Astyanax mexicanus: one gene and its partners. Each later gene encodes a partner of the first gene's protein in a complex. Links are inferred from orthologs where the notes say so. Each region holds a gene or a part of one and is shown in the gene's direction. Other genes may lie near its edges.

Region 1 (10,533 bases):
CTAGAATCAATTCTGTCATATTAGGAACTCTTTTAGAATTCATTTCTGAATGTTTAAGGATAAAGTTTCAGGTGTAGAATGTTAGATTCAGCTTTATACCAATTAGATTTTCTCACTTTGAATGTTGTAACTAATTTAAAAAGTGTACTTTTATAAAAATGACTGAAATCATGCACTACTTGTACTGTTTACAATTTGCTTAATCCATTTTAGTATTCCTCTTTTGTTCTCTTTTCTTTGTTTTCTCTTATTTTCAGACTGACTTAAGCATCATACATTCATACAAATGAAGAATTGAATCAAATTAAATGTTAATTTTTGATTAATCACTGTTAGTTAATTCATGGTTGTTTTAAAATTAGCTGAAGTGAACGCAGCTTTCTGGACGTTCACAGGCCCCTCAGCATAAACCAATATGAATCCAGGAGGACTGGGTTCAGTACCGGGTGCAGGGTACTTGGCGGGGTACTATGCGGGGTACTGGGACGCGTGTGTTGTGTGATTTGTCCGTGGAAAATGATGTCAGCACTTTAGTGACCTCACCGTTTTTTGGGTGCAGGTTGGCGAAATCTACCTGTGAGGTAACAGACGGGCAAACCTTCCAGGCCATGTGCTCCAGCGCAGACAATCAGAGGAGGAACGTGCACTAATGTTCTAGCAGAAGTATTAGCATTGTTAGCTAGCTAGCTAAGCCACTGCAAACTTTCCAGCTTGGCTTGATTTCTGCGTGCCTGAGCTAATGCGGGTTTAAGAAGCGTCTACTGGGGTCATTTTTTTGGCTGAATGGGGAATCAGTTGTCTGAAGTTAGTCTCCAGTATCGCTTAACGACTAGCTTTCGGTACCGACCGCTAGTGCTAACGTACTCTTGCAAAAATCCAGTGGCGGTATATAAGCATGGACGCCTTGGCGCCTTTTCGGACTCGGAACGTATTAATTTGGTAGCCTTGCCCCTTTCTCCCAGACCATGCCCAAGCATACTGTAGTCTCAGACTGCCTTCATTGAGTTTACAAAACACACAAGCGGAGGAGGAACGTGCACTAACGTTCTAGTAGAAGTATTAGCATTGTTAGCTAGCTAGCTAAGCCATTGCAAACCTTCTAGCTTGGCTTGATTTCTGCGTGCCTGAGCTGATGCAGGTTCTGCAAGTGTCTATTTGGGTCGTTTCTGAATGGGGAATCAGTTGTTTGAAGTTAGTCTCCTGTATCGCTTAACGACTAGCTTTCGGTACCGACCGCTAGTGCTAACGTACTGTTGCAAAAATCCAGTGGCGGTATATAAGCATGGACGCCTTGGCGCCTTTTCGGACTTGGAACGTACTCATTTGGTAGCCATGCCCCTTCTCACAGACCATGCCAGTAGCTTAGCAAGCTAGCTAACTAACTTAGCTAGCTAGCTAGCTAAGCTACTGCAAACTTTCCTGAGCTAATGCAGGTTCTCCAAGCGTCTATTTTGGTTGTATTTTAACTGAATGCTGAGCGAGTTCTTTGAAGTTAAGCTCTTGTATCGTTTTATGACTAGCTTTTGGTACTGACCGCTAGCGCTAATGACTAGCTTTTGGTACCGACCGCTAGCAATAACGTACTGTTGCAAAATTCCAGTGACGGTATATAAGCATGGACGCCTTGGCTCCATTCCCCTCCGAACTCGGAACCTACTCATTTGGTAGCCCTGCCCCTTCTCTCAGACCATGCCCGTAGCTTAGCAAGCTAGCTAACTAACTTAGCTAGCTAGCTAAGCTACTGCAAATTTTCCTGAGCTAATGCAGGTTCTCCAAGCATCTATTTTGGTCGTATTTTGACTGAATGCTGAACCAGTTGTTTGAAGTTAAGCTCTTGTATCGATTTATAACTAGCTTTCGGTACTGACCGCTAGCGTTAACATACTGTTGGAAAATTCCAACATACAGTAATGTTCTTGGAGAAGTATTAGCATATTAGCATAACTTTCCGGCTTTGCTTGTTTCTACAAAGCTAATGCAGGTTCTGCTAGTGTCTCTTTGTGCAAGTTGTTTAAAGTTAGCCTACTGTATCCCTGTACAACCTGCTTTGGGTACCAACAGCTAATGCTAACGTTATGCTAATGCTAATGCTATGTCCGCCATGTTGACAAATTTGCAACCAGAGTCTCTGCCCTTATTCCAGACTAATCTCAAGTGTCTCAGACCGCCTGCATTGAGTTTACAGTGTAGCCTAAAGTACCAGAAGCAGTTTATCCTTTAAGCTAACAACTTTTGGTTAGTAGAATGTTTTCTGAACGTTACATTTAGCGTTCTTAGAATGTTATTTTCTGGATGTTTCTAGAATCTTTTTATTTATTGCTTTGAACTTTCTGTAACGTCATCGAGTTAACGACACTTCAAAGCGTCCAGTTTTTATTTAGTTTTAACTTTTAACATTTCCCTAATGTTGGTATACGTCTAGTTGGGAATGCTATGTGAGAAGCGGTCTAATAACGTTTTAATGCAAACCATTGTTACGTCACAAGTTTTCAGAATGTTCTTGGAACGTCATTTCCGTAACGTTACAGGTTAACATTTCTGGTACCTTTTCAAAAGGTTGCTAAACATTCTTTTAACATTTTCTAACATTAGCTGGATGCTCCCTATAATAAAGGTGATTGGTCTGTTCTAGACAAGGCTGCCGCCTGTCAATCACTTGATGATGTAGCCCCGCCTACTTGTTGCAATATAGAAGAATAACACTGTTGGAATTGTTGGATACTGGAGAGAAAAAGACAGTTTAGAATAGAGAAATTTGATGTGAGATGGGAAATGGGCGGGGCTTTTTTATGTAATTAAAACATATGGGAATGGTTGGAGCTACCCGTCATTCTGCAACCAGCCAGCAGAGGCGCTAGACTTGTGGTGGCTTTATGTTTAAGAGACTTTTGAGAGACGTTGCGCTGTCCATGCTTATGTACAGTTACTGTAAAAACCTGCAAGACAATGCTAGTCCACGGGTGTAAAACAGCTAGCTAGCGATATAGCCTATAGGCTAACTAACGTTACGTTACGTTCTAGGCTAACTACCTTTAGCGGCCAGGCTTCTTTCAGTATGGCAATACTGTGTGAATGAGATAATTCAGTACATGTGCTTCAGAGTTTTAAAGTGTGAAACACGTAAGTCCTTTAAAAAAAAAAAACGTTGTTTACGACTTCAGACGACACTTTAGACTTTAAACGTGAAATACCACCGACTACATCCTGATACGACTAAATCATTCACATTTTATCAGCCAATCGATTTCCTCCACCAACGACAGATTCTGGTTTGGGTTGAAGTTGTGTAGTTCAAGTGATTTAATTCCTTTTCAAATGCAATACTGAAAAAAAAAACTGCTTTCTAATAAAAGTCCTTATTTCACCAAAAACGTTTCCTGTGTTGTTTATTATTACGAAATGTAGGGTATTAAAAGGGTCATTTTTTATCTTTTTTCAACTTCTGTTACTGGCACTCACTCCTGTTACTGGAACTCACTCCTGTTACTTGCACTCACTCCTGTTACTGGAACGCATTCCTGTTACTGGCACTCACTCCTGTTACTGGAACTCACTCCTGTTACTGGAACGCATTCCTGTTACTGGCACTCACTCCTGTTACTGGAACGCACTACTGTTACTGGCACCCACTCCTGTTACTGGAACGCATTCCTGTTACTGGCACTCACTCCTGTTACTGGAACGCACTACTGTTACTGGCACCCACTCCTGTTACTGGCACTCACTCCTGTTACTGGCACTCACTACTGTTACTGGCACTCAGTCCTGTTACTTATGTTTTAAGTAACAGGACTGAAAGTAACAGGAATGAGATTTTAGCCTAGAATTATAGCCAATAGCGTAAGCACACTGAGCACATTCTAGTGATTTTTTCCAAAATTTCTATTTAAAAAAATAAACCAATAAGATGTAAGAATTAATTTAGGTAACAGGACTGAGTGTTGAGATTGAGCTCCTCAGTCATCGTTACAATAAGATCAAATATACAGAAAAACTAATGAGGGAACTTCGGGAATTTTATTCTTCAGAAGAACCAACTTCCTATTGTAGATGTCACTTCCTGTTGTAGATGTGACTTCCTGTTGTAGAATGTTCCAGATGTTTCAGATGATCAGGGTAATGTGTTACAGTAACAGGACTGAGTGAAACCACAACACAGTGACACAACTAAAATGTGTATTTTAACCTTAAAATAATGAATTTATTATGAAAATATATTTTTAAGCATAGATGGGATTTAGAGTCACACAACAATGCAAAAAAATACATCTCTGAATGATTTTAATAATTATATTTCATGGTAAAGTTTATAGTTAGAGAGTGGGGTAACAGGTATAAAATGCTATTTTTATTCATTGTTCTAAGTAGTTTTTATTAATGTTTTTAATTACATATCTTACTTTTGCAATTAGGCCAGTGTACAATAATAAAATGTATTTTAAAGTTATTTTGTGTGCACATTTATACATGTAATTTCGTGAAGACAGAAATGGCACAGATTCAGTGGAATATGCCAAAAAAAAATTATTTTGCTTTTGTTGGAGTAACTGCATCTACTGTCCAGGGAACACTTTTTTTTACTAGATGTTGGATTTACATTGCTTTGAGAATGTATAATGCTTTATTGTTAGTTTATAGGAATAGAACTGTGGCTAATGACTCCAGCAGATCTGAATATAACAGCATATCTAAATGAATAGAGCCAGAAGGTAACATAGACACAGAGGCACCTTGAAACACTGGCATTTACCCACTCCACCAACCACAAATCTAAGATACTTATAACTAATTAAAGCTATAAAATATTAAGCCAGTTTACTTGTTATGAACAAGCTGATATTTTAAGTAATTGGAAGAATATCAATTACAGTAACTACAAAAGTTAGAAACAAATATTATGATTATTATAATTGTTATAATTATAAGGGCCATTAAATTCAGTATATAAGTTATTAATAAGAATTAATGGTTTAAAAGAATAAAATAAGCTAAGAATAAGATATGCTGAGAGTTTAAATTGATTCATTTGTGCACACTCAACATTGATTCAATTTGTTATGTTTATCTTCTTTTTTATGTGTGTTGTGTGTTATGTATTGTTTATATTCTTGTTTGTGTTCTTGAAGTGAACATTTAATAATAATAATAATAATAATAATAATAATAATAATACAATGTTTTTCCATCCTAAATATTAAAAGATTTAATGCGAGTAAAATGTAACGTTTCTAGAAAAATTAAACAAATGATTAAAAAAATAAATACAAATCTTCAACATGTCTAGTATAACTTTGAGGACTTTTATTTTGTATATATGAAGGCTTTTGTCTTGTAAGCAGTAGTTATATTCACTACTGAAATAAAGTCACTTTTTAATCATATTTTTAATAATTGAGATGCATTAATAGCTTCCATTAAAAAAACACAGTGCTAATGAAGCTTTTATTATGAAGAAAGGAAACTGTATCAGATGATAGGGGACTTCTATTGTATAATGCCCGCTTTTAGCGGATGAGTGAGGACTTTTATTGTGTAATGTCCGCGTTTATGCGTCGTTAGAGGACTTTTATTGTGTAATGTCCGCTTTTATCTAGCGATAGAGGACTTTTATTGTGTATTGTGAGCGCTGTCGCAGTTGTGTGTGTTCGCATGGCTGCAGTGTGTGTAGTGTAGAAATGAGGAGCTGATAATTCTATTTTTACAGAGAGAAATATCTGTAATTCTATAATAATCCAGTAGATCCTGTAGATCCTGTAGATCCGGGTACTGCGGGCTGCTCTACTGAACGGCGGGAATATGGGGGATGATCAGTACCCGATCCCCGAGCGGGATATGAAGGTAAAGTTACAGCGCGCGCACAGCTAACAGCTAATGCTAATCCAGCTAAATACTGTATAAACTACTGTGAACTACAACTTTTATAGCTTATGTCTGATATTAATAAAGTGTATTAATTATTATTAAACTGGTGAAAATCCCCTGGAGCTCATATATGTACTATTTACTATTATAATCTCTCTAATTTAAACTGAAACAAACTGAGCTAGCCTAGCCTAGTTTAGCTAGTTAGCTTAACTTATACCTAAATATCAGTTCTTATTAATCGTATAAATCTGAAATAAACATTTATCAATGTTTTTATCACTAGTTTCTGTTAAAAACTACACTGATACTGTATTACTAGTTAAACGTCTAACTAACATTTATTATTTATTAATAATAGTAACGCACTTTCAAACGTTAGCTAACTTAGCTAACGCTAAGTAGTTACACATGAAGTTGTCACAATGTTGTCAACTTTCTTACAGCGTTGTTTTAACGTTATGTAGATGTTGCACTGCAACAATATTGTCTGAATGTTAAATTGTCTATTTTAGCAACAACGTTGTCCAAATGTTGCACTCTTAGACAACAGTGAAAAAAATGTTTCACTTATTTTTTTGCAGCAATGTTTTCTAAATGTTGAGTTGTTTATTTTTAGCAAAAACATCTGTCTAAATGATTAACTGTTTGTTTTAGGAACAATGTTGTCCAGATGTTGCACTCTTTCAACGTTGTCTAAATGTTAAGTTGTTAAGTTGTTTTTAGCAAAAATGTTGTCTTAATGTGGAACGGTTTAGGTTTTCAGCAACAACGTTGTTTAAATGTTGCACAGATTTTTTTGTAGCAATATTATAGAAACGTTGAAGTGTTTGACTAATCAGCAACGTTGTCTGAATGTTTCATCAATGTTGTCTAAACGTGCAACATCTAAATGTTGCATTGTTAATGTTTTATTAGACTCATAACTCCTGTAAACTACAGTGTACTACAGCTTCTGTCTGAGATTAATAAAGTATATTAATCATTATTAAACTGGTTAAAATCTTCTGGAGCTCATATACCTGTATTTACTATTATAATCTCTCTAATTTTAACTAAAAAAAACTGAGCTAGCCTAGCCTGCTATATATATATATATATATATATATATATATATATATATATATATATATATATATATATATATATACACACAGAGTTAGCTAAGCTAGTTAGCTAAACGTTTAGTTAAATATCAGCTCTTTTTAATAACAAAATTACTGATGTTTTCTACTCTAGTTTCTGTTAAAAACTACACTAATAACGTTTTCTAAACGTCCTTTAAGAATATAGTTTACGCTAGCTTACTTGCTAGTTGTCACAACGTTGTTTAGTTTCTTACTGCTAAGTTTCAACATTGTCTATAAGTTTCACTTTCTGTTCTTATACACAACGTTTTCTAAATGCTTAGCGGTTTATTTTATCAGCGTTTTCTTAGTGCATCACTGTTTATTTAATCAAAAACATTGTCTGAATATTGAACTGTTGTTTAAGCAACGTTTTCTTCATGTTGAACTAACGCTAAGTAGTGAGCCAGCAAAAACATGTTTTCTCAATATTGTCAGCTTTCTAACACAGTCGTTTTATTATGTTGAATCAATTATTTTTTGGCAACGTTTGTCTAAATGTGGAACAGTTTATGCTTAAGTAACAACGTTGTCCAAATGTTGCACTCTGTTTTAGCAATTTTGTCTAAATGTTGAGTTCTTTATTTTTAGTAACAACATTTGTCTTAATGTTTAACTGTTTGTTTTAGAAACAATGTCATCCAGATGTTGCACTCTTTTATCAATGTTGTCTAAATGTTGAGTTGTTCATTTTTAGCAACAGTTTAAATCTTGCACAGATTTTTTTTTGCAGCAATATTACCTAAATGTTGAACTATTGTCTGAATGTTCCACACTGTTTTATCAGTGTTGTCTAAATGTTGCACTCAACATATTTAGATGTTGTTGGGACAAATGTTGCAATTTTTTTTTCAGTGTATTAGTTGTGTGTCATTTTGTAAACTTATTACCGTTATTCAATATTTATTGCATTTTACCTAGGTTTGTGCTATTAACAATTACAACTTTACAACAGCATCAATGTTTCTTACCATTTAGACTTTATTACTGACTTTTAACAGATTTCTAAATGTTTTACCTCAATAGCCTAGTTTTCTTGCTGTTCTTTTATTTTGCATTTTTTTAAATAAAAATTTAAATCAGAAAACTACTCTACATCTCTTCATGGCTGTCTCTCTCTCTCTCTTTCTCTTTCTCTTTCTCTCTCTCTATTAGCATGAATGTAGTTACATACATTATTGCCAAATCAATTAATAATACAAGTAACAGACAAAAAAAATACTAATAATAATAACAAAAATAAAATACATAACTAAATCTAAAGATTAGAGAGAAAAAAACCCAGTAATATTAAAAAGGTTGGGTTATTAATAAAGAAAATAAGTAAAAGTAGTCATAAAAGCATGTTAAAGTTAGATTAATAAAACATTAAATTAAATTAATAAATAAGTTAATTAATCTCTATTTCTGTAACAGGATTTTCAGTTTCGTCAGATGAAGAAGATCCGGGTGTTTGATTCTCCTGATGATCTGCAGAAGGAGCGCTCTGGTCTTCTGGCGATCTCTAATAAGTTCGGCGTGACGTTTGTGGGTCTGGACAGAACTCTGAAGGTTTATCTGACTCGGGAAATCATCGCCGCCGCGAAAGTGGATGGAAACATTAATGAAATCGGTAAGAACTGATCGGTTTTACTAGATTGAATTATCTATCTGCAGCCTGAGGAGCCATCTTCAGTTCTAATGGCTGGAGAAAGGTTTTAAGATTTTGCGCCCTGTTTTAGCGGTCTATAGCGAGCAAGCGTGTCATTGTGTCTTTGCTATCGTAACGACGGGAAAAGTACACCTTGCGCGGCTTGACATGCACAATTATCACACTATAAGGCCCACTCAAAATCATTTAATTTCTCCAAAAAACGTCAGAGTGCCTTATTATCCGGTGCTCCTCATGTATGAATTCTACCAGTCAGGTATTAAGGAGCAGTAAAGACACTCCACTGAAGTAATTAGTTCTCCAGCACTGGGGCTGGAGCAGTATTAGCATTAGCTGCTAACCACGCTAGCTTTTTTGCCGTTCACAGGCAAATATTATCAGCCTGTAGCCTGCTGCTAACCATGGCTAGCACTGCTGGAGCAGCATTAGCATTACCTGCTAACTGCATTAGCTCTTTTGGTTAGCTGCTAATGCTTCAGCTTTAGTGCTGGAGAAGTTTGGGAACCTTAGCTTACTGTAAATAAACAGAAGAGCTTTAATCACCCAAATAAACAGTTTTCAGGAGAGAAATCTGTGTAGATTAACATCCAGTGCTCATTAAACTTTAAAATTAAGTCTTTTTTATTACAGATTTGTTTACTTAGCTTAGCTTTACTTAATATTGTTACCTACTGAATTAGTGCTTCCTTATTGTGTCTCTTAAAATGGGCCCTATAGTGCGAAGAATACAGTACTAAGTATTTCAATTGATCATGGGTGTGGTTAATTTTGGGGCTTAAAGTGTCTCTTGCTCATCATTCCCTTTAAGAGAGTCAAGTGAGCTCTGACTTTGGTGGATTGCTATTTTAACGGTGCAGCTACCTGGACGTGTCCAACAAACTCTTCTCAGCAGAGGAAACTGAGCTGCTGGTTGACTCTGTGAAGGAGCTCCAGCAGCTCATTTACGGGAACAGCAATGTTATTTTATTTACTATTCTGTTTATTGTTGATGTAAAAGTTGTGTTTGTGTACTGTTACAGTGTTGCAAAGATAGCGATGAACGTCTGACTTTCGACTGTTGTCAGGGTTTTATACAGTCAGTGGAGCTCCTGTGTTTTCTGTTACCAAGATAGAGATAGCAATATACCAGAAATGTACCTAAACACACCTCATTTCCAGAACACCCATCAGTGTAGATATATTCAGAAACTCTGCTGCTGTTTAAACCAGGCAGGTTGAATCTGATTGTCTGCAGTGTTTTGCAGTATCTGAATGTCTAGTTTTGGTGAATCCTGGCTGATATCCCTCTGTTTCTGCTCCTCAGTGGAGAATGTAAAGTGTCAGGTGCTGAGTGTGGATCTGCCCATGCACCACCTCGCCCTCAGCAGTGATGAGCTCACGCTGTCTGTGTGTGGGGTTGGCGAGGACGCCGCTCTCACCATGGACTTCTACGACGTCCGCACCTTCTTCAACAAGGTAAATACACACAACAAAGAGAGGCAGAACATTTAATAACACCTAGACTGTTCAGCTAGTCCAGCTAGTGTCCGCTTATACTGCAGTCAGAGCCCTATTAAAATATTGCAATTTTTAAATATTCAGGAACCAAAAGTATTGGACCAAAAATGGTAAAAAAGCACTTTCGTTGCTCAGTTTTAGTTCAAAGACCAAATAATTAAGCAATAATACACTCGATGTTTGTGCTATAGCATGTAATATTGGCACTGCTGTGCTGCGGTGGTAGGCACGAAGCCACAGGCCAAGTACTGTAGATCATTACTAGTTTTACACGTTCTAGCACGAACCTCAAGTGTATTATTGTGATTATACCACAGTTCCAATATCACTGTTTATTGAAAGATTTTGAGTTAAAGAGGAGGAGAAAATATGATCAGTTTTGTTCTAAAAACTCCA
Region 2 (10,460 bases), on another chromosome or scaffold:
TAAGGCTGCGTTACATAAATAAAATCACTTCTAAGTAAATAGCTTCTCAATCAGCAGTCAGAGTCTGAGAGAGAGAAAGAGAGAGTACAGTAGGTCATGCTGTTCCTCCATCAGCAGCCGGAGTCTGAGAGAGAGAGTACAGTAGGTCATGCTGTTTCTCCATCAGCAGCCGGAGTCTGAGAGAGAGAGAGAAAGTACAGTAGGTCATGCTGTTCCAACATCAGCAACCAGAGTCTGAGAGAGAGTACAGTAGGTCATGCTGTTCCTACGTCAACAGCCGGAGTCTGAGAGAGAGAGTACAGTAGGTCATGCTGTTCCTACGTCAACAGCCAGAGTCTGAGAGAGAGAGTACAGTAGGTCATGCTGTTTCTCCGTCAGCAGCCGGAGTCCGAGAGAGAGAGTACAGTAGGTCATGCTGTTTCTCCATCAGTAGCCGGAGTCAGAGAGAGAGAGTACAGTAGGTCATGCTGTTCCTCCATCAGCAGCCGGAGTCTGAGAGAGAGAGTACAGTAGGTCATGCTGTTCCTAAGTCAGCAGCCGGAGTCTGAGAGAGAGAGTACAGTAGGTCATGCTGTTTCTCCGTCAGCAGCCAGAGTCCGAGAGAGAGAGTACAGTAGGTCATGCTGTTTCTCCATCAGTAGCCGGAGTCAGAGAGAGAGAGTACAGTAGGTCATGCTGTTCCTCCATCAGCAGCTGGAGTCTGAGAGAGAGAGTACAGTAGGTCATGCTGTTTCTCCATCAGTAGCCGGAGTCTGAGAGAGAGAGTACAGTAGGTCATGCTGTTCCTCCATCAGCAGCCGGAGTGTGAGAGAGAGAGTACAGTAGGTCATGCTGTTCCTCCATCAGTAGCTGGAGTCAGAGAGAGAGAGTACAGTAGGTCATGCTGTTCCTCCATCAGCAGCTGGAGTCTGAGAGAGAGAGTACAGTAGGTCATGCTGTTTCTCCATCAGTAGCCGGAGTCTGAGAGAGAGTACAGTAGGTCATGCTGTTTCTCCATCAGCAGCCGGAGTCCAAGAGAGAGAGTACAGTAGGTCATGCTGTTTCTCCATCAGCAGCCGGAGTCCAAGAGAGAGAGTACAGTAGGTCATGCTGTTTCTCCGTCAGCAGCTGAAGTCTAAGAGACAGAGTACAGTAGGTCATGCTGTTTCTCCGTCAACAGCTGAAGTCTAAGAGACAGAGAAAGTACTCCATCAGCAGCCGGAGTCTGAGAGAGAGTGAGGGAGTACTGTAGATGTAGCAGCCGAGTCCAAGAGTGTACAGTAGGTCATGTTGTTTCTCTCTGGGTGGGTACAGTAGGTGGCACTCTCTCCGCTCATCACTCCCATTGTGATCCTGTTCAGTGCAGGTGTCTGTAAGCTGATGTATCAGACCTGGGGATCCGCTGCTTTCCTCCATGATCACAGTGCTGCTGCCTAGTGCTTTTTGTAACATTTTGATTGGCAGCAGAAAAAGACAAAGGTGTGCACTCACATCACCCTCCTATTATCAGAGGCATTCCTAGTAGGGGGTAAATATAAACAGAAATTAGGGCATTGGCCTTCCAAATTGGGGAAAAAAATAATACAATTAGAAATACATGTAAAAAAGACAAAGGTCTTTTTTTTTTTACCCGACTGTAGATAGTCACCTCTTTACCCTCAATCGTTTTTGTTCATATATTTAATATTTAGAGTTGACTGAATGGATATTTCTGCTGCAGGTATACAATAAAAAAATAATAAATCTGATTAATTTCCTGTATTTTCAGTGGTGTCTGCGCTGAATAAGGCATGGTGCATCGGCTGCTTCACCTGCTCCACCTGCAGCACTAAACTCACCCTTAAGTAAGTTCCCTTTAAACCTTGTTTACTGAGGACACTGCGTGTTTAACCCTTTAACATCCTCACCACCATAACTTCATTAAAATTAAGAATTTATTATTTAGTAATTCCTTTTTTCTCAATGACTGTGTAATTACAGTCCTATCACAGTGTCCTTTATTAGTACAGTAGTACCCTCACTCCAGTGTACTTTAAAGATATCCTGATGGAAAGGGAAGTAATGTTAAAGTGGAATCATCAATGTTCCAAACACCTGCAGTGGACTGCACTAGAGTCCACTTAAAAAAATAAACCAAGGTCACTGATTTCAGGAAGACCAGACTGCTTCCTGCTTCATAGCAGTTTTCACATTGCACCAAACTAAACCAAACTCACAAAAATAAGAAAAAAAGAACTACAAGGACCAGTGAAAAAAAGCTAATGTGAAAATACCACTCTTACAGTAGAGAATGTCAGTACTCAGGATGCACAGGTTTACTAGATTAATGAGCATAAATACATGATGTAATTATATCCAATAGAGTGATTTGTGAGTGATTTGGGTTTTTATCAGGGAGAAGTTTGTGGAGCTGGATCTGAAACCGGTGTGTAAACAGTGCTATGAAAGAATGCCGGAGGAGCTGAAGCGCAGACTGGCCAAGCGTGAACACGACTCCAAGGAGCGAAAGAGGAAGATGGGTATCTGTCTGTGATCTTCGCCAGCAGTTGGTTAGTGTTCTGCGTTCTCTTCATTTTTTCACTGTGTTTATCATCTATTACACTTTCAATAATCAAATTTTTCTTTTTTTTTTTTTCAGAAATGTTGCAGTTCTATGAGGAAAGTGCAGAAATTTGATGATGTGTACTGTAGTATTTTCTAGTATTTGTTATAAATATTCAATGATTTTATCCTATATTGTACATAAATACTGAAGTCATCCAGACCAAGAAGGAACACATACTCAATCATATAGTAACTTTAAAGTGTTAAACAAACCCAAAATATTCTGCAATACCCAGATACCCTGGTGGGTTCTTATATGGGGTGCTGTTAACTAACTGTGGTTTCTAAGGCTGGTAACTCTGTTGAACTTATCTTGTGCAACACTGGTAACTCTTGCCCTTCTTTTTTGGGGGATTTTCTGATGAGAGCCAGTTTCATCATTAGGTTTATGATGAATTTTTATAAAGCTGGCTGAGAAAATGCTAAGATGGAAAAAGCTGTCATCTAAGCAAAAGGTGATACTTTGAACATTACCTGGTTTGTTTAATATTTTTGTTTACTAAATAATTCTATATGTGTTTCTTCATAGTTTGAATGACTTTAATATTAATCTTTATTGCAGAACATTTTAAAATAATGAAAAAACACTGAATTTAAGGTGTGTCCAAAATGTCACTGTATGAAATGTACACATGCATTGACAAGTTTTAAACCAGCATACAGTGTTATGCATACAGAGTTGGCACCCCTGATCATTTTCATGATTTCCTTTATAAATCACTGGTTGTTCAGATCGGCAATTTCAGTGAAATATATCAGATGATATTGTAATATCTGACAAGTTTATTGGATTTACAGAAAGTGTTCAATAATTCTGTAAACAGAAAAATTGGGCAGGTGCATACATTTGGGCACCCTTGTTGTTTTATTAATTTAAATACCTTTAGCACTAATTCGTTCTCAAAATAGTTTAAGCTCATTGTCTCTTGACCTACATACACAGGTGAATCTATTTATGAGAAAGGTTTAGGTGGCCAATTGCAAGTTTTTTTTTCTTTTTGCATCTTCTCTAAAGAGTGGAAACATGGAAGCCTCAAAACAAAACTCTAAAATTAGCTGAAAACAAAGATTGTTCAACATCATGGTTTAGAGGAAGGATACAAAAAGCTCAGATCTCAGAGATTTCAGCTGTCAGTTTCCACTGTGAGGATCATAGTGAGGAAATGGAAGACCACAGACACAATTCTAGTTAAGACCCCAAGTGGCGGACCAAGAAAAATCTCAGATAATCAGAGGAGAAGGATGATGAGAACAGTCATAGTCAACCCACAGATCAGCTCCAAAGACCTACAACATCATCTTGCTGCAGATGGAGTCACTGTGCAACATTCAGCTATTTAGAGCACTTTACACAAGGAGTGGCTGTATGGAAGAGTAATTAATGCAGAAGAAGCATTTTCTGAGCACACGCCACAAACAGAGTCACTTGAGGTATGCTAAATCACATTTGGACAAGCCAGCTTCATTTTGGAATAAGGTGCTGTGGACTGATGAATCATGATAATTATCAGGGATGCCCAAACTTTGCAATACCAATGTAACCAGGATTTTAATGTTTTAATATTGTTTGACTTTAATCATAATTTTTAGATTATCTTATAACTTTGTGAAAATTCTAAAAACATTTGGAGATGTGGTTAATCAATTAAAAACAATACAAAACAAAAATCCAAGCCTAACACTGTCCCTAGATCTGTGGTGTGATTACTGTAGCTTTAAGTTAGATTCTCACTGAGTGCATTTACATGCTTTTCATAATACAGATAAAAACTCATCAGACAATAATCAGATTTTTGTTGCAGCCAGACAATAATCTCACAGAATAAGACGTGATAAAAACATTGCGTAAAACATGAACTTCACACTGCAATATGGTCATGAACAGCTAGAAAATGAAGATTATTTAACCTGCAGTTTCAGGGTGTCTCACAAAGTATTTGGTTGGGATCTCACAGGTGCTGTGTTAAACTCGCTTATTTCCACCCTGTTTTCACTCATGCACATCCCAGAATACTCCGGTTAGCCCACTGTAGCATGATTTTTTTCATATTTATTGGGAACAAATATTGTAGCCTGTTGATATATCCATTAAAAAATAACTGCACAATGTTGCACTGAGACAAAAATAAAAAAACCCTGTTTTAGTATGCAAATGAAAATAAACTAGCCACAATAATGACAAAGACATTAAAAGGAAAATTCAATTATCAAAAATATTCTTTGGTGCCTAAAAGCCAATCCATGCCATAGAGGGTATGACTTCATACTCAGTATGAAGTCAGTGTAAACTCAGTTTATATTACTACTTCATTTATACAGCATATTAATTTAGCATATATTGTGGAATGTATTGTTATTGTATTGCTATGAGGTGCACTGATTTGCCTCAGCTTCTCTTTGGATTGTATATGTTATTTGTTTGGAGTTTATTTAGTATTCACTGCCTATTGCTTGAAATGAAAATAATTTAAATAAAATGAATGTATACCAAAAAAAATACTCGAGATTCCTGACATCAGAGTTTCACGCCTCCACTCTGTTCACACCACACCTATTATTAATACCAGTTATAAATTAATAATAAAAAAAGAATACCCTACTTATAATACAATTTGTATAGCCAGTATGTACATATATTTATATCTTTATAAATATCTGCAGTGTTTAAAAAAGCACCAGCAGCACTGCTGCATCTAATCAACTTGTAGCAAAACAAACACCATCACCTCACACACCACTACCATGCATATAGACAGTGTATAGGCTGTATAAAGGACAGTGTGGACAAACTGTAGATGACAGTGTGTATATATATCATATAAAAGACAGTGTGTATAGACTGTATAAAGCACAGTGTATATAGACTGTTGAGGACAGTGTGTATAGACTGTATAAAGGACAGTGTGTATATACTGTGTATAGGAGAGTGTGTATATACTGTATAAAGGACAGTGTGTATATACTGTGTGAAGTAGAGTGTATATATTGTGGAAAGAACAGTGTGTATATACCGTATAAAGGACAGCGTAGGTAATATACTGTAAAACACTGGAGCTCCTGTTCTCCATGCAGCACGCTTGCACTGACGGCAAACACGCAGCTTTCATTCTATTGGCTGCGACTCTAGAGGCGGGACGTTCGTCCTCAATCCTCATAGGCTGAATGGTTTGTTGGGAGGCGTGATAGGATTGTGTGATGCGGACGGAAATCTCGCGATAAGGTAAACGAGAGCGGCCATATTTGACAGGTTCGGGGAAGAGCGCGGTCCCGGCGAGTGTTCAAACAGAGCGGTGTATTAACGGAGTAACAGCGGAACAACAGCGAAACACAGATCACCCGCCACCCCAGAGACAGATTCAGACATGAGGCGGAGTAAAGCCGACGTGGAGCGCTACATCTCCTCCGTAGAGAGCCTCTCCCCCGCCCGCACACAGGTACCAACCGCCCGCCAGCGCTAGCATTAGCATTAGCATTACCAGGGCCGGCTCCAGCAAAAGCAGCTCTGTGTAGAGAAGACCCCCCCCCCTCTTTCTTAAGTTCATTTAGTTATGGGCTTTTAGTGTTTGTGGCACTTTAACGCTCACACGCCCCCCCCCAGCCCCCCCCCCCCCCAGTAATAATAATGATAATAATAATCATAATAATCATCATCATCATTATCGTCAGCTACAATGCAAGATCACAGTTAAGATATTTTATTTTAAGAATTTATAAGAATTGAATACTAACAATACAGCGTTATGCAAATACAATACATAACGCTACCATACTGTTTAATCAACGTTAATTCAACGAATTCTGATGTCGGAGTTTAACGTTACATTAATGCATTAGAGATCGAAAGTGAGCGAGCTCGTTGAGCGTTAAATAGCTAACTAACCTAACGCTAGGTAGCGTCAGTTAACTAGGGTAACTGTCTGTGTTCTGAGAGTAGAAGAGCACCAACCAGCCAAAGCCTTTAAATGATGGTTTATTCAGTGTCAGAATTTTAACAACTAAAGTTTTTTTTCCATAATCAACATTAAAATGTATTAAAGTAGCTTGTATTCAGTGTTTTCTTCTATCAGTACGTTTCTACTGAATCCAGCGCTATTTAGTTTTCCTTCAGACTTGGTCAGTTTAAAGTTTAATGTGTAGAACTGCGGAATTGAATTTGACCGAGCTCCAGCTGTAGATCAGGGTGTGTATCAGCCGCAGTGTGTGAGGGCAGCGCGGGGCTGGAGCTGAAGGCCTGCGCGTGTCAGAGTCGCCGGTATTAGCTATGCTATGCTAGGCTAGGCTAGGCTAGCGGTCCCTCAGTGAGAACAGTCGGTACACTGCGGGCTTTTAGCTGTTCACTGTGAATGTGAACCGGGTTATAAACACCAGATTAATAAACCCCGTATCTCTTCGTTAATAATTTATACCGCATTATCCACACCTCCCTGCTGTACAGTCGCAGTTACCCGGCTATTAGCATTAGCGCTGACTGTAGGAAAGCGCGGTAAACGGGCGGGAGGTTCTAAAGATCAAGTTAAACTCTCTCTCTCTACACTGATTTATTTTACATGTACTAAACGTTAATTCCACATTTCCGTACAAATCTCACAAGTCTGATAATTGTAATAAATCCTTACTGGTGCTGATGCTAATTCACCATATCTAAACCGGCCTTGACTGGCTGAGAGATGCAGTTCACATGTCTGAACAGTATCAGAGCTAAAGTACAACTATCTTTTAAAGAAATAGTAAGATTACTGTTATTAATGCCTAAAACTAGTCGTATTATTCGTCAGAATTAGTCTATATAACGTTATATCTGAAAATACAGTTTCTGTAAGCTTTGTAAGTATGTTTTATATTGTCTTTATTCTTGTGTGGTATGATGTTTTTGTCCCCAATATGTCAGTGAGCAATTTAAGTATTATTATTATTATTATTATTATTATTATTATAATTATGATTATTAATAATTAATCATTTTAAAAACATAATTATACAATTACACCCTTTTACATAACAGGAAACTTTTTATGTGTATAAATATGTAGATATTAGTCAAGTAAGTTAGACAGGGAATTTAAAAATGGTTTAAAATCCTACCTTAATATAAAGACTCCAGATAAATTTCACTGTAGCTGTGAGATCATGTTCGATGTACAGTGGTGCTTTAAAGTTTGTGAACCCTTTAGAATTTTCTAGATTCTTACATTTGAGAGTGAAATTAGTGTCGGCTGTTTTCAGTGATAATGGACGGAGCAAGGTTATAATAGTTTTGAAATTTTCATTCTAGATTCTTTTTTTTTTTTTTTTTCCACTTTTTCTCCTTCAATTCAGTTAGTTTTAATTAGTTTTTAGAGTTGGTGTGCCAGTTTTTATTATTTTATTTTCTTTATTATTGCTTAGTTTTAGTTAACGTTAGTTTTTATTAATTCTAGCATTTGTTTTTTTTTTCATACTTTTGTGAGGATCAGGATTCAAAAAGATATTATGAAAAAAAAAACTCAACAAAAGAAACAAAAACAAAAAAATCAGTTACTGTGAAACAACTAACTGTCCCCAAAAACTGCTTAAAATAGCCAAAAGAACACACATGAACATGACACGCACATCACATCAGAGAGCTCAACTTGAGAAACCCAGAAACAAACTCAGAAACCCAATAAACTATACAGGTTTTACTCATTTTCACCAAAATTATCAAGTCAGAAATTAAATTGAAATGGACACCTGGCACTAGATACAGCTAAGATAAAACTTTTTACTATATTAGTGCAGAACTAACTATACTGTAGCTCACATATATAACATCAGAAAGTGATCACAGCTGTCTGAAATACAGTTTATTTAGTGTGTGTGAGTTAGAGAATGTGTGTGTATGTAAGAGAGATAGAAAGAGTGAGAAAGAGACATATTTATCAGTTCATCTTCCAGCTTGAGTTGTTCTGGTGTATGAGCTACTCAGAGTAAGGCTGGTAAAGGTACTCACAGTTAGGGCTCTTATGCTGCTTCTCAAATAGACTTACAGCTGTGTGATGTTTATTCCGCATACGGTATCTGCTGTTTTAAATACAGAATAGAGGTGTGCCATATCGTATCGTACACGATAATATCGCTAACATTTTTGAATACAGTGTACAATATTTTATCCTGAAATATCGTGCCCTAATTATCACATCAGGGTACTATTTTTTTGGCTGTTTTAAGCAAAAGAAAATTCCTATTATATATCTACTAGAGACATATTATATCTGTTCAATATCACTTATTTTACTTTAATCCTGGATAAATGGAGATATTTGGAGTGCATTATTATTAGTAGTATCATGACATTCTGAATCATTGACTTCTGTTACAAATCTGCTAGAATTCTTTTTTTTTTTTTTAATATCTTAGTTAGAGGTGTGCATGTCATATCATATACAATGATAAAATGTAAGTTTTGTTTTGCTGCAGTAGTTTATTTTTATCATATCACCTATAGTATCGTTATCGCGATAATGCCATGAAATATTGTGATATTATTTTAGGGCCATATTGCCCACCCCTACTACAGAACACATTTATCTTCGTTGTGCTCATATTTTAATCCCATACAGAATTCTGCAGTTTTCTGTCTTTATTTCACAGTTAGATGGCAACTGTAAACAGAAGTGACGCCACTGACTGTGAGGTGCAACGTGTTGCCACCCACTGTAAAACTGCTTGAGTGGAAACAGCGCTTATAAATAAACAAACACATGAAAACTAAGTGTATCCTAACTAAAACCTTTTTTTTTTTCTATTGGTTTCAGTTAATAAAAATTATTTTTCACTTTCAGCGAAAGTAACAAAATTACTTCTGAGCAACTAAAGGCCCCAATTCTCCCACTGCTTAATACTGATATTCTTGAGTCTACCATCAGAAGAACACTGAACTACTGTGGTTGACATGGTACAGAACGTTAATGGTTAGAAATGTTACATTTAGTAAAAGGAAAACAAGGTGTTGCATCTGTGGAACACGTTGGTAGTAGTATTACGGTTTGGGTTTGAGTTTTGCTGCATCTGGGTCAGGGTGGTTTCCCTAATTGGTAAAACAATGCTGAAGAAAAATATCAGGACGTTTAGGCTTAACAACAATCTGTTTTACACAAACATTTTATGTTGGCGTATAGGTGTGGACAATATTAGTATTGTATATAGTTTTGTGATAATTTATTTCCATGATACACATTTTACACATTTACTTTTATAAAGAATCAGAGCGCTGACCATATGCAAGTGAGAAATGATCACAGATTTTTTGTATTATTACTGTGTTTTTAAAATGTGCTGGAAAAAAAATCATTTTAATTGCTTGACAGCACTAAAATATGATAATCATTTTGTATTATAGTCTAGATATTTTATAAATAAAAGTTTATAAGTTAAAGAAAAGGAGAAAAATATATTTTAGGGTCTGTCAGAGAATTCAAATCAAATAATTTGTATAGCGCTTTTTAAGTTTAAGTTTAAGGCAATAAATAAATACCACTCATGCACTAATATTCATAGTAAGCAGCATTTAAGTATTTGTGAAATCTGACATAGTCTAGCAAGTTTTAACAGGTTTCCAGACCCTCTTAGATGTCTGCAAAATAAAAGCAGTTTTTGTGAGTGGAACTCAAAGTATATTTGAGGTTCTACATAGTGGACAGGTTTAAAAACTATGAGTCTGGGGTTTCCTACAGGTGTGCTATCTGTGTTATACTGTGTATTTGCAGTCAGGCCTGCCATGCTTAGTTGACATAAATGACAAGATTTAGATTATAAAAAAATAGTTTACTTCAAATGTCAGGGTGGAGTACTGGTTAATCTGTAACAGCACCTCCCAACACAGTGCTGGGGACAAACACAGTAACAGGTAATGAGCCTAC
Region 3 (10,333 bases), on another chromosome or scaffold:
AATATTTTTTTTCTTTTTAGGGCACCTGTAGCATTAGTGTATGCTAATGTAGCAAGACTTCATTTGATGTTGGGTATTTTTAGTTTTGTGTTGTTTCTTTATATTCCATTAGTAATAAAAATGTAAATGTTGAGTAACAAAAATTTTATATAATAGTACCAAAGTTCACCATCCACATACAATAATAGTGTAGAGCAAGGGCAGTTTTAAAAGCTTCTTTCCGAGTTTCAATTTATTTGCACTTAATATTTGTCAGTTTAAATCAAACATTGGTAGCACTAACTCTTTCTTTTAGCTTTGCAGCAAAATATGGAACGTCAGTCTTCTAAATTCACTTAAGCATATAGTTATAAGGAAGAAGACGAGTGAGTGGAACAAGTGTATAAGGGAACAAATTACATGTTAGATTAACATCACTGGAGTTTAAGAAAGAGAGCCAGGATGCGTTATGATCTTGTAAAAAAAACTCTATTTTTCCTTTCAGATGTGGTACATCAGTCACACTCCTCAACAGCTGTTTCAGCCCAGCAGGCAGATGGTTTCATTCAGGCAGTTTATAGGTCCAGCAAAACTATCAGTGTTTGACAGTAAAAAGGGGGGCAGTTCTGTACGCTCTAAAACTAGAGCACTGTCTTATTATCATTTAGTCCCTCATCTCTCAATCCCATGCAAACATCCTGAGATTAGTGCATGTGGGGCAGTCAGGCAGGCTTTTTATCTGGACGCAAACTGCTGTTATGTAAGTTTCTGTGAATTAATATTCCCTCTGACTCAGCCTGTTCCCTGATCTAAATCACACAGCTAAATGGCTGCTGTGACAGAGCTGCCATGGTGACTCAGGGGATTGTGGCTCTGTTGATGGCCATCTTGGCAACAGGACCAATCTGATTTACTTTTTCTCTCTCTCTCTCTCTCTCTCTCGCACACACTCACACTCTCACATACACACACACCCACACACTTTGAACTGATGCTACTCAACGTCATAGCTGCTGTCATGGATTTTAGGCCTGCATCTGCCTGTTTTGACCTAATCCATGTGTATGAGTTTTCTCATAAATCCTATGTGTGTGTGGCCTGTTTCCTCTCTGCAGGGGCCTGGCACCTCAGAACAAGCCCGAGCTGCAGAAAGTGATGGAGAAGAGGAAGAGAGACCAGGTGCTGAAAGCTCAGAAGGAAGAGCAGGAAGCTCATAAGAAGCAATCAGATTTGGAAATTGAGCTCATGAAGAGACAACAAAAACTTGAACAGGTACATACACGCCAGATCACTGGAACAAACTGTTTTACTTTATCCTTTATGTTACAGTGTTATAAATGAGTATAAATCAAAAATGTTCTTGCGTCAATTCTACAGGCAGTCTGACATTCCAGCATACTGCATGGAGATCTACCACTAGTCTACTACTAAACTTTTAAACTACAAATAGATCTTGGCAAAACAAATACACTTTTGCGTTCCCATGAGCACACAAGTGTACACCTCATTTAATATCCCATGACTTTATGCATTTCAGTGTACATTCTGTTGCTATTTTAAAGAACCTTGTATCTCAAAATTTGTAGGTTTTTCATGATAAATAATCCAATAAAAATGTTTAAAAATTATTTTAGAAAGACTTCCATTTTTTTTCTTTTTCTCATTTAAAGTTGCCATTTTTGGAGTTTTATTGTGACAGCAGTGCAGAGTGTGTCTGGATTGTCGGGTGTCACAGTCTAGTGAAAGTTCTTAGCGCTCTTATTGAAGTAGTACAGTAGATGGGGTTACTTCCTGGGTGAACCCCTTTTTCCACAATGCATAACACAAACTACAACCAAGAAACCCAACATGCAGATGTTCAGACTGTAAAACATCTTTCTGTGTATTTGTGTCTGTAGCTGGAGTTGGAGCAGCAGAAGAATGAGGAGGAGCAGGAGAACACCCCGGAATTTGTTAAAATGAAGAGCAATCTAAGAAGAACCAAGCAGGAGGTGGACGAACAGGAGCGCACCACCTAGACACACTATGGGGGGTTTAAACGAGTCCATGGCACATGAAAGCATGGCAACCGGACTGCAGATTTGTGGGGATTCCCTGGTGTTCCTGCTCCCTGTGTTCCTGTGAAAACCGTGAATGGTTCCTATTGCCGACCTGCAGACACGACCAGTATTCACTTACCCTAACCCCTAAACACCGGCAGCAAACAGAGGGATTGAAATGAAAAATGCGCACTCAGACACAAAGGCACAGTCTCCCCGTCACTGGCTGGTTGGCTGGATGGCGGGCTTTGGTGGACTTACATGGCAGGACGGACAGAACACACGCAGAGTTTTTCCAATTCGTTTTCTATCTCTCTCTTTCTTTAGCTTATCTTTATTTTTATTTTTTCTGCTGTTTCTTGTTTTCTTTTTTAACTTATTTTCAGAAATTCAAGTTTAGAGGGACACTGGATGGACTTGTGCAAGCCTAAATAAGTGTTTGTTTTTTTCAGTTTTGCCTTGGAATGATGCTGATGATGAGGGGTTTTATGAGGACTTTATACCCTCCTTTTGGTTGATGATCAGAAAAAAAGAAAGAAAAAAATATGAATATGGATTCTCAACAGTTCAACCTTTGGCTGTGATGTACAGATGTTTGCTTTATTTTGTTGTTTTAATCTTCATATCTGTGCACTCCTTCTAAGCTACATCTATTTTAAGCAATACTAGAACTAGGTTGGTGTGTTTTTGAATATTTTTGTTTTTCTTTTTTTACAAATAAATTTGTTATAAATACAGTTTAGTTGCAATGGTGTAGAACACTGTGTTGAGGCACTCTTGTATTTTTTTCCACACCTGAGTAGTAATTGTTGAGTGCAATCAGGAAGGTCTAGGAAAGAAATGCATTTTTTGTTAGTTCAGTATTGAAGACTCACAGTCTAATGTATAGATTTGAGCCAATGCCCAACCACTCGTGCTCCCTTTAATTCAGAAAAACTTCTTTTAATAAATATTATTTTGTCATGTTGATGATGTGATGTTTGTCTTATTTCCACCCACTCAGATCATTCACAAAGACCTGAATATAAACAGTAAAACCTAAACAGAGGCTGGAGTCCAGTACATGTACTGATACAAATCTGTCAGGTAACCATAATTCTGCATCACGTAAAGCATTCAGCCAACATAAAGCCACTTTCAACAGTAGAGTAAGTCTTAAATTGCCCTTACAGCCTTCAAAACTGAGGCCAGGCAGCAGCACCACAGGTAAGGGAGCCGGGGGGGAATGACTACACCTTGATGGTAAGTAAAAGTGGGGAAAGACATACCCAGTATGCAAATAGAGTTAAAGGAAAAGGTTTATTGTCTCATCAAGGTTGCACCATCAAAATATAAGACAGTCTTAAGGTGACCATATGTAACTACAACAATTTGGCAACTGCAGTCAGTATAGCTCTATTGAATCAGCTCAGTTAACTTTGTGTATTGTGTATCTCAACCGTTCTTTTTATCAGCTTAAGCGGTACCAAATTTCTCATTTGTGTTAACTTTAATAATTTAAGTAATTAAAAAGGACAATTATATGTCATGTATAGAAGCCCAGCAGTGAGTAGCTTAGGACCACAAGCCGGTGAGCAACATCTTAGTACTTTAACTGCTGAGCCAGTACTGCAGAAGAAGTAGACCTTTGGACACTAAACATGTCTCGTGAACAGAAGAGAAATGTTTAACTTGTAGTTGCTAAACCTTCCTTTTGGATGCTTGTCAAAAAGTGCTTTTTAAATACCCTAGGTGGCACCATTGTGTAAGTTCCACAGTGCTGCAATCAGAGACGATACCCACTTCAGAATCCATCTAATGTTCTTTTGATTATTAGACTACTTAAGTAAATATGCCTTATCCAACTCTTCCATAAAGATGTAAATATGAAGGTTAAAAAATGTTCCCTTTCAATGATGTAAAATTTTAATACATCTATTGTTTATGGCTTTATCTTCTCAATGCTTCTTTTTACTGCATTCTTCAGTTTCACTTTCACAGAAACGAGTCTTGTTAATGCACTTACTTTGACACATAAATGAAACTTGGCTGGATTAATTAATGGTGTTCATAATATACAGTACCAGTCAAAAGTTTGGACACACCTCTTTTCATTCAATGTGTTTATTATTATTTTTTTACATTGTAAATTTAATATTGAAAACATTACAGCTAGTATATTTATACTTCTAGATTATGGATTCTTCTAAGTAGCACATTTATCTTTGAGGACAGATCTGCACACTTTGTATTTTACTCTCACGTCTTTATGAGGGAGAGTCACCTGGAATAGTTTTCTCAGTGTCTTGAAGGAGTTTTTGGAAGTGCTGAACAATAGTTGCTGCTTTTTACCCATCTCACTGTTTTGATGTCTGTAATATTAATCAACAATGTAGAAAATTAATTAAAGAAAAACATTGAATGAGAAGGTGTGTTCAAACGTTTGGCTGGTACTGTATTGATATGTATTTACTTATCTTAGGTCTATGGCTTATTTAAAGTACAGATCTTTTAAGTATTAAACCTTTATGGCATGTATAATATATTTCATATGTTATATGGGAGCTTGAGAGTCCTAAACAATTTTATTTATTTTGTCTTTTATAATAAACATATCATTTGCATCAGATGTTTTAGAGCAAGAATACAAAAACATTTAAAGTTATTTATATATTATATGTTATTTATAACATACATAACCCTTTCAAACCCTGCGTGCATAACAATAGACATCCAATATTTTATTTTTTTGTAGACCTGTTGTCCATCAAAATAGACCATTAATCAGCCAAAGAAAAGGTTTACAACCCAATGAAACAGCAGCCCCGCCCACTGCACTGGAAAAAACACCGCAACCCAGACATTAGGGATTGGCAGCACTAGAGCCAGTGAAAAAGTATGATAAACTAATTTTAACAGATTTTATGTCATTTACATAACTTTTTATCATGTTTATTGCACTGTTTGGAGATTGTGTGTGAAATATTAAAGGCATGGTGTACTAACCAAAAATTGGGTAACACAATAAGGGTACCTAAATTAACAGTACTTATGACGGAATGCCTCAAACAATTATTATCTGACACTAGTTAAGACATTACTCATCATTACATTTTTTTAAATAATTATTAATAATTATTTTAAAAATAAGCAATACATTTTAAATAATTTAATAATGTTTAATAATGTCTTAACTAGTGTCAAATAATAATTAGTTGGGACATAATCATTTATCATTTATAATGCCATAAATACTATTTGTGACCCTACACAAGCCTGTATTCAGAAAAGATTCATATTGGATTCACATCAATGACTCAGTGAGTCAAATAGATGAATCAGTCGTTTAATTTGCTTCGATCTAGCAGAAGCTCAATTTTGTCCAGTAAATTAAACTGTAGTCTGAAGATGAGTGTTTAATATTACATTTATTGGAAACTGAACATGAAGGTGATTAAAATTAATTCAGTTTGAGATTAATTTACAAAATTAACTTCAAAATCCTCTTAAAACTACAAACCGCCATTTCGACACTTGGACTCCCGGTTAATCGCCTGAGAGAAAATCGATTTCGAAAAACTATAATTTGTTTCACACTTATTTTTAAGAAGGTGTAATTGAGCATGTTTAAAAAAGAATAGAGAGTTTAAAGTATAGAACCATCTCCTGCTTGGCACGCAGTGATCCGAAACCGTATATAATTTTCAGTCTGGCGATAAGCCGGGAGGCTGCGGCTGGGCTGGTGGTGGTGGAGCAGACATGGCTGCGCAGATGGCGGTAAATTCAGGTACGGAGCTCATGTGCTGGTTATTCAACACTCCTCAGGGCTGTGTGTGTTTGTAGTTTGTTTATTATAACAGTCTGTAAAGCTGTGGGATCGGTTTAGGGAGATTCATGAGCGACTGAAGCTGCATATGAAGGCAGTTCTGCCTGTTTCTTGAGTTCAGTTTGGTTCCATTACCCGGTGTTGTGTCGAGTTATGCTACCCAGCTATACAAGCCTCCTAAAGAGACTGCGCATGCGTTAACCTACATCTTTTTAATGATTTCTCGTGTGTTTTATAATAATTCTGTTTTTGTTGTGTATTTAACAACCAGTACTCACTGTCACTACACAAGTGTATTTGCAAGTAATAATAATAATAATAATAATAATAATAAAAGATTATAAAAAACACAAGCAAGATTATAAAAAACTCACATTACCATAACTTTACACTGATACAGTGAATTATGCTGTTCAAAAAAAGTAACGTTACATCGACTTCTGCTGTGAACATGTTATAATTTTGTGCCTTTTTGGCATTTTTACGTTTAAATAAGTTATACTAAAAAGGGTAGCACGGTTTTACAGGGTAGCACAACTCGACAGAACACCGGGGTTAGCTGTTAAGCTGTTAAACAGCGCTGTTCTCATAATTATCAGCCTCCTACAGTCAAATAAACACAGTTATTCACCAACACGCCTATTATACTCACCTCTATCCACGTCTAAACTAACAGAATTCCCCGGCTTTTGTTAACAGCAACCCCCTGAATATAGCCTAGATATATCTGGCGGCTGGTTACTAACGCAAGCTTAGCTTGGCTCAGTCTGGTGTAAAAAATACTTTCGCTCTTAGTTAACTAAATAATGCTCAAAGTTCAGAGAACTGAGTCTGCGTCTAACAGCACCCAGATAACTTTTTAAACACCATCATCTGGTTTAATATAACAGGTGATTTTGTTGTGAGCAGGAATCGACAGAACTCTCTGGCCTCAGAATTAAACTAATTGTAGCTAATGCTAATTGTTTTCATTATTCCACTACAGAATAGTTAAATGACCTAGGTTAGCGTTACAGGCCTGCAAATCTGAAACAGTAAGTCCCTAAATATAAGGATGGAAAAATAGTTTTTGGAGAAACCAAAGTACCCTTTCTAAACTAATAGATTATTCAGTTAAAGACGAACATCACTAAAGGGAGAGAATGTTTTAATATAATTTGGAGAAGGGAATTGTTTGTTAAACTGAGGGAAAGGTTTGTTAATTTGATGGAACTGTTTGTTAAATAGAGAGGAACAGTTTGTTAAATTGAAGAAACTGTAGAATTGAATGTAAGGTTTGTAGAATTGAGGCAACTGTTAAATTAAAGAAGCTGTGGTAAATTGAAGAAACCGTTTGTTAAACTCACAAACTAAGGGAACAGTTTGTTAAATTGAAGAAACTGTGTATAATTAAGGGAAAGTTTGTTAAATTGAAGTAACTTTTTTTAAATTGAGGGAACAGTTTTTGGTAAATTGAGGCAACTGTTAAATTAAAGAAATGGTTTAAATTGAGGGGACTTTTTGTTAAATTGAGGGAACTGTTTGTTAATTTGAGAACTTTTTGTTAAATTGAGGGAACCGTTTGTTAAATTGAGGGAACTGTTTGTTAATTTGAGAACTTTTTGTTAAATTGAGGGAACCGTTTGTTAAATTGAGGGAACTGTTTGTTAATTTGAGAACTTTTTGTTAAATTGAGGGAACCGTTTGTTAAATTGAGGGAACTGTTTGTTAATTTGAGAACTTTTTGTTAAATTGAGGGAACTGTTTGTTAATTTGAGGGAACAGTTTGTAAATTGAAGGAATTGTTAAATTGAGGGAACGGTTTGTTAAATTGAGGGAATGATTTGTTAAATTGAGGGAACTGTTTGCTAAATGGAGGAAACTGTGTTTAATTGAGGAAACTGTTTGTTAAATTGAAGGAATTGTTAAATTGAGGGAACAGTTTGTTAAATTGAAGGAATTGTTAAATTGAGGGAACGATTTGTTAAATTGAGGGAACAATTTGTTAAATTGAGGAAACTGTTTGTTAAACTGAAGGAACTGTTAAATTAAAGGAACAGTTTATTAAATTGAAGGAATTGTTTGTTAATTTAAAGAAACTGTAAAATTGAGGGAATGTTTTTAAATTAAAGAAACAGTTTGTTAAATTGAGGTAATAAACTGCTAAATTGAGAGAACAGACAGATAGATTATGAGAGAAAAATGAAAAAATATTTAGTAGCTTCAGGAAATGCTTGATGTCTACTAATGTTTTTACAGTAATTTTAACAAAGTTATTGGGCAGTTGGTTACCTTTCTTAGATTCTAGCAGACTGACTAGAAGAGTGTGTGTATGTTGTGTGATTTATATAATGCATGAATTATGCCATAGTATATGTAATGCAGAATTTTGTTTAGTATAAAGCAGTTAAAGGCCTTGACTTGATAAGGCACACATTCCCAAAGTGTATTTCTGTAATTCTTTATTAGTCCACTATTTAGTAATCTTTTTTTAAGTCATATAGGATTATTGTTTTTGTTTTTTATTTATTCATCTGCTAAATAAATACCTGTAGAATTTGTAACAGTATACACTTTGTTTAGCTCTGTGAAGTTGTGCTTGCTATGCCTATTGTGTATTAGAGACCTTTCTTTTGTGGTATTCTTACAGTATAACTGAGAAAGTGTTGTTACATGTTGGTTTACGGCTTGTGTGGATGTATTTCCTGTGCAGGAGCCAGTCTGTGGGGTCCACTGAAAGAGTTATGGGAGACTGTGGAGGGCTCAATATGGAGGAAACAACCAGAAAGTGTTCATCTTCTGGATTTGCAGTTGAAAAAAAACAAGCCCTACTTTCTGTCTTTGTTCAAAAACCCGGTACAGTACAGTGTTGAAGATTTTCCCTTAGGCTGTGTTTAGTTCCTAGGCCTGATCTGTTTTATGAATTTATTGTATTAAACCCTTTCAATGACCTATTAATATATGTTTTTATAGTCAGCTATCTGTAGGGATGTTGTTGCATAAACACATGTAATTAATTTAACTATTTGTGGACATATTTTCTTTTGGAAATAGCCAAAAAGTGCAGAGCAGAGAGAGAAAGTGAGGAAAGCCAGCACAGAGGGAATTTCTATTCAGGGCCAGCAGGGCTCACGACTTCTCCCTGAGCAGCTGCTTACAGAGGCGTTTATCCTCAGTGATCTCTTCGACATTGGAGAGCTTGCAGCACTTGAACTGTTGCTTGCAGGTAAACCAAAACACACAACCATGTATGCAAACACACAGAAGCTAAATGCAAATCCAAATTTTGTCCATTTGGCTTGCATGGTGCTAATTAATAGGCTATATATACGTATATGTATTTGTTATTGGTTGTCTGTTTATTTGATATTTTTAATGGAGAAGAATGAATATTAAGCTACAGTTCATATTTGACATGATTTGAAAGGTAAGATTAATTACTATTCTTCTTCGCAGGAGAGCATCAGCAGCCTCATTTTCCCGGTTTGACAAGGGGTTTGGTGGCTGTTCTGCTGTACTGGGATGGCAAGCGCTGTGTGGCCAACTCTCTGCGCTCTCTCATCCAGTCACGTCATGGCAAAACTTTCACTCTCGACCTTGGGTATGGGGCCTGTTTATAAATATACCTTAAAATAAATATATGTAGATATATACCTTGGCACTTTGTTTATTTCTGATACTTGCTTTTTGTATGTTGTATGAACATGTGTGTGAATTCTTTACATATTTATTTGTATGTATGTTTTTGTTCCTCATAGTGCGGATTTGGTTAGTCTCACCACACGCTTTACAGATGAGCTGATGGCTCAGGGATTGGCCAAACAAATCCTGAACCTTGTGTCAGATATTAATGTCACACGGGAGTTTGAGAGGCTGCAGAAGGAGCGAGGACTTGGCAACGAGAAACATAGGAAAGAGGTTAGGGCTGTTAATTCATTAAGCAGTTTTTTTTAGCAGATGGGACTTGAAAAGGAAACTATATTCTACAGCATAACTACAGCCTGAGAATCAGACCCTAAATATTTAGATTTAGGCACAATTGGGTTCCTTTTTTGTATGTGGTGGTGGTAGTAGTAGTATGTGTAGTTGCCATATCAAAAATGTAGACTAGGAGTAGGAGGGAACTCTCTTTAAGTGTTGCTGAAACGTTTAATCAGTTTGTTGCTTCATTATTGTCTTCTACAGGTGTCTGACCTCATCAAAGAGTGCAGACAGTCGCTAGCTGAGTGTCTGTTTTCATGGACGTGTCAGTCACCCCTTAACAAAGATGATATGCTTGCCCTGATTGGTCATCTGGAAACAGTCACAGCAGAAGCTGATGGCTCACTAGATAGTGTGAACCTTGCACTGGTCATGGCATTGCTGTACTGCCTGGATGTCAGTTTTCTGGAGCAAGGGACAGAAGACCGAGACGGTACGTCATTGTTCTGTGCATACAGTGGCAGTGAAATTGGGCTTTTAACTCTTGAAGCCTTGTATGTAGTGTCATACTTTGTTTACTCGCATAATTATATTATTGTCATAATTTACA

What was found.
Region 2: nup214 (region 1) and ranbp2 share a complex: the UniProt entries of both Homo sapiens proteins name them as parts of the nuclear pore complex. The link is inferred for Astyanax mexicanus from reciprocal best matches to the Homo sapiens genes NUP214 and RANBP2.
Region 3: nup214 (region 1) and nup205 share a complex: the UniProt entries of both Homo sapiens proteins name them as parts of the nuclear pore complex. The link is inferred for Astyanax mexicanus from reciprocal best matches to the Homo sapiens genes NUP214 and NUP205.

Annotation. Positions count from the first base shown.
Region 1 is NC_064408.1:3,826,479-3,837,011, reverse strand, and holds the start of nup214 (nuclear pore complex protein Nup214), read left to right. Parts: upstream 1-5,616; 5' UTR 5,617-5,796; coding exon 5,797-5,838; intron 5,839-8,405; coding exon 8,406-8,601; intron 8,602-9,943; coding exon 9,944-10,095; intron 10,096-10,533. UniProt on the Homo sapiens protein: Part of the nuclear pore complex. Has a critical role in nucleocytoplasmic transport.
Region 2 is NC_064418.1:23,984,315-23,994,774, reverse strand, and holds the start of ranbp2 (E3 SUMO-protein ligase RanBP2), read left to right. Parts: upstream 1-5,806; 5' UTR 5,807-5,945; coding exon 5,946-6,017; intron 6,018-10,460. Other genes in the region: LIM and senescent cell antigen-like-containing domain protein 1, read left to right, coding at 1,748-1,823, 2,374-2,512. UniProt on the Homo sapiens protein: E3 SUMO-protein ligase which facilitates SUMO1 and SUMO2 conjugation by UBE2I. Involved in transport factor (Ran-GTP, karyopherin)-mediated protein import via the F-G repeat-containing domain which acts as a docking site for substrates.
Region 3 is NC_064416.1:18,025,291-18,035,623, forward strand, and holds the start of nup205 (nuclear pore complex protein Nup205), read left to right. Parts: upstream 1-5,679; 5' UTR 5,680-5,756; coding exon 5,757-5,784; intron 5,785-8,515; coding exon 8,516-8,658; intron 8,659-8,856; coding exon 8,857-9,028; intron 9,029-9,258; coding exon 9,259-9,403; intron 9,404-9,560; coding exon 9,561-9,720; intron 9,721-9,987; coding exon 9,988-10,216; intron 10,217-10,333. Other genes in the region: protein FAM107B, read left to right, coding at 1,095-1,251, 1,878-1,997. UniProt on the Homo sapiens protein: Plays a role in the nuclear pore complex (NPC) assembly and/or maintenance. May anchor NUP62 and other nucleoporins, but not NUP153 and TPR, to the NPC.